2 linked regions of the Schizosaccharomyces pombe genome follow. The protein of the gene in region 1 interacts with the protein of each later gene in a pairwise test. Each region holds a gene or a part of one and is shown on either strand. Other genes may lie near its edges. The genes, in order: meu43 and SPOM_SPBC21B10.08C.

Region 1 (4,161 bases):
GACAAACACAAGATTAGCTAGTACTCGACGACTTGCTTCGTCGTTACTTTCTCAAGCGTCGCTTCGTTCCCGTCAATTAAACCCCCTTTTCACATCTTCTTACTCAACTCGTTCCTCTTCCTTAAAGGATCGGTTAGCTGAGCTTATTCCTGAAAAACAAGCAGAAATCAAAAAATTTCGCGCAGAACATGGCCAAGATGTCATTGGTGAGGTAACTATCAATCAAATGTATGGTGGTGCTCGTGGGGTTCGTTCTTTAATATGGGAAGGCTCTGTTTTAGACCCTAACGAGGGTATCCGATTCCGTGGTTATACTATCCCGGAATGCCAAAAATTACTTCCTTCTTCTCCCAACGGAAAACAGCCTCTTCCTGAATCTTTGTTCTGGCTTTTAGTTACCGGGGAAATTCCTACTCTGAGTCAAGTGCAGGCGCTTTCCGCTGACTGGGCCGCCCGTTCTCAGTTACCCAAATTTGTTGAAGAACTCATTGACCGTTGCCCTCCTACCCTTCATCCAATGGCCCAATTCTCTCTCGCTGTTACTGCACTTGAGCACGATTCTGCATTTGCTAAAGCATATGAGCGTGGAATGAACAAGCATGATTATTGGAAGTATGAATATGAAGACTGCATGGATTTGATTGCCAAGACCGTTCCAATTGCCGGTCGTATCTACCGCAATTTGTACCGTGATGGTGTTGTTGCTCCTATTCAAATGGATAAGGACCATTCGTACAATTTTGCTAATGTTCTGGGCTTTGCTAACAATGAGGAATTTGTGGAGCTTATGCGTCTTTATTTGACCATCCATGCTGACCACGAAGGTGGTAATGTATCTGCTCACACCGGTCATTTGGTAGGTTCTGCTCTTTCTTCACCCTTTTTGTCGATGGCTGCCTCCTTAAATGGACTTGCTGGTCCCCTTCATGGTCTTGCCAACCAAGAAGTTTTGAACTTTTTGATTACAATGAAGAAAGAAATCGGTGATGATTTATCTGAAGAAACAATCAAGTCTTATCTCTGGAAGCTTTTGAATTCTGGTCGTGTTGTTCCTGGTTATGGTCATGCCGTACTTCGTAAGACAGATCCTCGCTATACGGCTCAGCGTGAATTTGCACTTGAGCATCTTCCTAAAGATCCCATGTTTCAACTTGTAAGCCGTCTGTATGAAATAGTTCCAGGTGTTCTTACAGAGCATGGAAAAACCAAAAATCCATATCCCAACGTTGACTCACATTCTGGTGTTCTTTTGCAATATTATGGCTTGAAAGAACAAAGCTTCTACACCGTTTTGTTCGGTGTTTCTCGAACACTCGGTGTTGCCTCTCAACTCATCTGGGATCGAGCTTTGGGACTACCTATTGAGCGTCCTAAGTCTTTCTCTACTGAAGCATTAAAGAAGATGGTTGAAACGAAATGATTATCTTATTTCTTACAATGAAAATTATGTCGGCGCTTTTTTTTTCATTCATTATTTGTATAAATGTTTTATTTCCTACTTAGTTTTTACTGTGTTGGTGTTGTCAATTCCCGTTGCATTTAAAAATTGAATATCCGCAAATATATCAGCAAACACAATAATATTAATAATAAATTTCAAAATTGGTATAGCAAACAATGAATTTACTTAACTCTGTTGTATTCATGGCTTTAAAAAGTCTAACGTATAAGTTTTCAGTAAGCAAATTGTTATTTCAAAAGGCCTTCTCATCATCTGGTAACTTTCTATATATTTTAGCTAAATTATTTAATTTGGTATGAATGTAAAACACGCATAGTCAGACGAAAGCAATCCAATTAGGCTTTCGTCCCGGCTTAATTGGTGTCTAATATCTTTTTCTGCATATACACAGCGTACCAAAAGTCACTGTTAGCACTCCTTTTAGTTGCACGTGGATTCACAAGACCAAAGAACTTTGATTCACCGAGACTCAAATTCCAAAGCCTCCAATCGTGCTATGTATGTGGCATAGAAAAAGATAAAATTTCTAAATGGAAGAGATATATATATGAATAAAAATTCCTGAACTACCGTATTTCACTAGTTTTCATTAGGCTGGTTTAAGATAGTTTTCTAATTGCTTCGCAATTTGTTTCAATTTTACGAATTGCTGTATTAAGCAGAATATAATTAGTAAAAAATATGATTTGGAGTAATTTGTATTAAGACTTATTAGCTACCATAAGATATCGTCTTGAAATTCATTGATAGATTTGGTGTAGCTGCTTCATAAAAAAAGACGGAGATTGGATCTTAAAATCTGTAATTTCAGGCCATTTCTTTGATCTAACTTATAACTGCTAACTAGTTGAATGTTTATTGGTGGGGAGTAGCTTTGAGATGTTGCTACTGTTTGGCGTACCGCCAAACACCTGCCAATCTTTTACAATTAACGCGACTCCTCTATACATCAATACAAACATTGAAGCAACATATAACCATCACACGGCGTTTGTATTACCATCGTAAAAGAAAAAATGAATAACATTACACGTGACATCTATACCAAAGGACAACCTGCTGATCTGAAACGTCTGCTGATGAAGCGTAACTCTTTTAGAAGGCCATTGTTAAACATGCGATGTAATTCTGTCTTACAATATTCGTTGGAAAAAAGAAAACTTACCGTTCAAGATTTAAAAGACACGAGAATGGAATTAAATAACATGATTCGCATCTTGACTGAAGCCATGGCAGCCCACGAATGGACTGTCGATAATGTAAACATAGCTGACATACAGTCTCTTCAATCAACTATCCATTCGACCCTTAAAAATTTTCAAAAAATCAATGTCCTTCAATTAAATATAAACGCATCTGATAATTCCTTGGCTTATCTTTCAAAACCTGAAGAATCTTATAATTTCTTAACAATTTACTTCTCAACCTTGTTGAGTTATGAGAAAGTAGAAAATCTCATTAAGAAAAGTTTAACGGTAATTGATTCTTTGTATGGACTTTTAAACTATCAGATAAATGCTCAACATTCATTGGGTTGTATTCCTCTGAATCAAGATTCTTTTAAACAGCTTAAACTATTAATTTGCATTCTGGAAGAAGACATTAAATTAGATGACTGTGGACTCGAAATTTCGGCGTCTAAGAATGAATATCTCGAAAAAATAAAAACCCACTATAAAACTTGGCTGCGCATCCATACATTTTTAACCTTATTTCCAGTTCCGTCAGTTCTATCTTCGAATTTAAAGAAACAAATGTACGGCTGGTTTGAAGACTTACGAGACGAAAGCTTGAAGTCAATAATACTAGCCAGCTTGAGTGAATAATGAGGTAGGAGTTACTAGGAAGAGCAATTTTATTTGCAAGAACTTCTATTACAACAGGGCAAACCACGAGAGGTCTTTACCACACCATTAAGTTTTATAATGATCGATTAAAAGCTAATCAAACGCGCGTATCAAAAGAAAGTAATATTTCCAAATTAACGTTGCAGCTTTGCATAACTCGATGGTTTAAGCTTCCTTTTAAGAGCTTTGCCGCACCAGACGGGTAAAAGACTGATAAATAGTATAAGCGCACTCACCCAATAAAACTTCAATCCAAGGAGGAATTTGAGTTCTATATGTATTAGCTTCTCTAAAATTCTTCGTAAATATATTAAACATACCAAAATAATTAGTTAAAAATGGCACGCTAAGGATATACATCATCAAAGTTAACAACTCAGACATTACAATTGTTTGTTCCCTAACGTCGTTAGTATATATACCTACACACAAGTGAGAAAGGTAAACTTACCATGTGTTAATCTGTAAAGCAACCATAATAAGCTCGTTGAAGATCAAACAAGAAAAGCAAACAGCCAACATTTTCCCTTCTTCCTCAAATCCAATGAGGTAGAATGTAAACAGTTGGATAATTAATCCTATGTTTGTAAGTATGGTAATGAAATAAAATTTAACATACCTTGATATACGCTAATGAGAACGCAAGATATAAAATTTTTGTAAGAAAAACATTTTTGCTCCCTCATTTCCTTATACAGTTCTGGGAATAAGAAGACCAGCTTCTCACTTACATCCCTATCGTACACAATCGAAAAAACGGGAAGCATTGTGTACATTGTAGAGTATCCAACCAAAAGCAAACCTTGAAATAAAGCGATCGGTTCAAATGCAGAAATTACACTATAGACAACT
Region 2 (3,592 bases), on another chromosome or scaffold:
ACAGTAGTATCAGAAAATAGATGTTTCTTTTTTGCTTAGCCGTCAGAGGCGTACTACCCACGTTAGCTTCTAAAGTATCATTTTCAATTGATGCGATGGAAGCAGGAGCATTTTCTAAATCTTCAAGCTCTATATCTTGTCGAGTAATACTTCGATGGTGAGCCTTAAAGACCATGGAAAAGAAATTCGAGCTTTTAATAAGTTGAACGTAATGATAATTACGCGTAAATTCGAATTCTACTGTAATTAAGAAAACAAATGCAAATCCTTTTATGTCAGAAAACTAAATTCCAAAATTTCATCCCCTGTAATTTATGTCTAAGGTTTTCCAAGAAAAATCGATGCCTCAATACGAAGATTTAATCGCAGTGGTGTTGTTGCCAAACATACCAGCCTACATTCTTCAACGAACGATTGACAAATTACACTAGCAGGATAGCGTATGCGAGTTCACTAGTTTATTTCGTTGATAACGACAGCAGTAACATATTACGTTAACCTCGTTATATAATAGCGTTCTATTTATTCATTCGCTATACAAAATAGATTCTAAGTATTGTTATTATTATTAAAATACTTATTAAGCAAACCTACTGAAGTCATGCTTCATGTTTAGACATGAGCTATTTTCAGTGACAAATAAAAGTATTACCTTCATACGAATATACTTGATACCTGTTTACCGCTTTAAATAGATCACGATTTAAAATCCCATTTCGTTTAGCGTACCATCAAAACAATAATACCAACTGCATGGCTAACGGATAATATGCTATCTTACAATACGATTTTCTTGTAGAATGGTTGCTTTTTTCAATGATAAAATATATGAATAAATTTGTAGAAAAAACCTTAGCATTGTAAATAAATGGTGTTAGTTACTATTTGTTTTCTATAATATGTCTCTTCAAAGTATCTGTTTAAATGGTTAGCGTAAAAAAGCACTTCACTTCCAAAAAAAAAGATGATTATAAAAATACGGTTAGTTGGGCACTTTGAAAATCTGTTAAAGTTGGATTTTCGTTCGCATTTCCCTATTTTACTACTCAAGATAACCTTAATATAATGATCAGCATATATTAAATTGCATATGTTTTATTGTAAACGCTTGAAAAAAGAACAGACTATTTTTTATGATTAACTATACATTTTTTTAATTATCCTCAAATTAACGGCTTTGTAAACATGTTTCAAAAAACTACTAATTATAATTTCGCTAGTGTCAAATATTTCACAAGTCGCGGAGTAAGCGAAGGGAGTAGTAGCATAGCGATTGTGTTTAACAAAAGTAATGTCTTTGAACAGTACACTTTTTGGATGCATTAATTTACAAACTATTTGGATAAATTTGAAACCAGTGGTCTTAGACTTATGATATTGCTGATGAAAGCTCTCAAATTTACGAACGGTTGACTGACCGAAACTAGTTGCTGTACTATGTAGACTTTGTTCATATAAAAATTATGGAACTTCGTAGAATACGTAGACTTGTCAAGGTCGACAGGTCAATTCTCAAATTTTTATATGACCAATTACAACTATATTATATAATAATTCTATTGATCGTCAAGAAGTGTTTGTTCGACACGTTGGAGAACAGTAGCATAATCAAGGTTATTTTTGCATTCCTATCGTAATCTATCCGTAATTATGGAACCTTTTGCTTAAAATTATGAATACTTTAATACCTAGTTTGGTTGGTTTGACATCAAGTCCGCGATTTACCCGATCGCATTCTTTCATTTTCTATGCAACCCGTCACGTGACTGACTACAAATATACTACTTCATACGAATTAACTGCCCAAAAGCATTTGACAATAAGTTATATAGTTGTTAAAGAATTATGAGTTTCCCTGCTAGTACTCACGTCTACATTGCCAAAATTATCGGTAAGAAGGGTGAAGGTGATAAGGTGAGTTAAAAATTGAATGCAAAAGCATTATCAAGGTGTTTATAGAATAAGCGTGGTGAATTGAGAAATGTCTATCTCAACTGCATTGTAAAGTTGGAAATAAATGAGATGCCACGACATGTCAGTTTAAATCTTCTGTGCTGTAATAGAAATCTACTCTCATTACTGTAATTGTTGTTTGCTTTTGTTCAGGAATTTATCCTTTTCTTGAATCCTTTACTAACTATATGTACAGATCCTTGACCTTTTGAGTAAAGTTAATGAGCATGTATTGAAATCAGAACCCTTCACTAAAACCTATTATTTCGCTCGTGATGCTAAAAACCCTGATTATATCTTTGGTCTTGAGCTGTATGATTCAAAGGAGGTATTAGAGAATTCTCACAAAACCTCAAATCCCTTCCTTGCTTTTGCCAATTATTTGACCTCTACTCATGCTCCTTTGGCAGAGCCTTTGCAACTATTGAATTTTAAGGTTGTTGATGGTCATTTAGATAAGGACAACTTAGGCCCAGATGCCAAGGACTATGTTTTGTATACCGAATATACTGGCGATTCTGCTACTCTTAAGCAACAGCTCACCGTTAATCCTAAAGCTGACACAAGTTTGATTATTCATTCCTTGGATGATCCTAGCCTATATGCTGTCGTTACCAGATACTCCAAGAGTGGTATTGAGCCTGGTCCTGCTGAAATTTCTGGTGCTACTTCTGTTTCTCAGCAAGTGATTTATTCTGGCGTTGGTTTCTTAAACCGCCCTTAGATGTATTTTGCAACAGAAATGAACAAACGTTTTTACAACATATACGAATCCCAAACCTTTTGATATTTCTGAAGAGTACCTTATATGAATATTCCTAAACCCTATATTATTAATCAATTAGCGTAGTGAATTTATTGAAATTTTAAGACCGAAATTTACTTTGTAAACGATGGCATTAGAACACAAGTTATTAAAAAATTCAAGCTCGCATAATTTCAGACAAAACTTAGGCTTATTACTATTTTACGCATTTTGCTAAACACATGCGAAAAAATGTTTCTCTACTTCAAGTTCTAATCAAAATGTATTTTATTTACACACAATATATCGAGATGATATCACGCATGCAATGTTAATGTTATGCCTATATAATCAAGAAAATTCATCAAAAAGAAAAAAGAAGGGGGTTTAGTATTGATAAACGGCCAAGCTTTTGATATTCCAGTATGCTTCAGTAAAATTATGAGGATTATTACCAACAAAGTCGTTGCACGAACCGGGGCATCCTGCTGATGAATAAACTGAAGAACCTGCCCAATCACCACAAAATGTCAAATCAAATAATATTTTTTGCTTTGAAAACATTTTGTCGATATCGCATTTGGTATCTGGAAAGTCAGCTACGGGTTCACTCCATTTAGCAGGTTGGGGAGAACCAGAAGTAATGTCAGATGGAATTTCAGAACGATTAAAAAACCACGATCGAATACCTTCACTACGCCAATCAAGAACAAATACACCGCCTCCATTTTTGTTGAAAGCTTCACCATAAGAAGGACCACTAGGATTTTCAACACCACAGCCAGCATTATACGAGTTTGGAGCATCAACCCAACAATTAGTTTGTAATGCAGTACCAGTCATAACTCGCTTGATATCTTCCATTTCACAACCGTCACCTGTATGCAAAGTGAC

What was found.
Region 2: the proteins of meu43 (region 1) and SPOM_SPBC21B10.08C interact in a two-hybrid assay, tested with the Schizosaccharomyces pombe proteins (one large-scale study listed by BioGRID).

What each region holds. Positions count from the first base shown.
Region 1 is NC_003424.3:2,328,677-2,332,837, forward strand, and holds meu43 (protein meu43), read left to right. Parts: upstream 1-2,133; 5' UTR 2,134-2,478; coding exon 2,479-3,288; 3' UTR 3,289-3,443; downstream 3,444-4,161. Other genes in the region: citrate synthase Cit1, read left to right, coding at 1-1,420; flippase Neo1, read right to left, coding at 3,444-3,580, 3,630-3,709, 3,761-3,887, 3,929-4,161.
Region 2 is NC_003423.3:1,654,101-1,657,692, forward strand, and holds SPOM_SPBC21B10.08C (uncharacterized protein), read left to right. Parts: upstream 1-1,804; 5' UTR 1,805-1,845; coding exon 1,846-1,914; exon of another isoform or gene 1,915-2,149; coding exon 2,150-2,677; 3' UTR 2,678-2,828; downstream 2,829-3,592. Other genes in the region: SPOM_SPBC21B10.09 (acetyl-CoA transporter), read right to left, coding at 1-175; glycosyl hydrolase family Crr1, read right to left, coding at 3,086-3,592.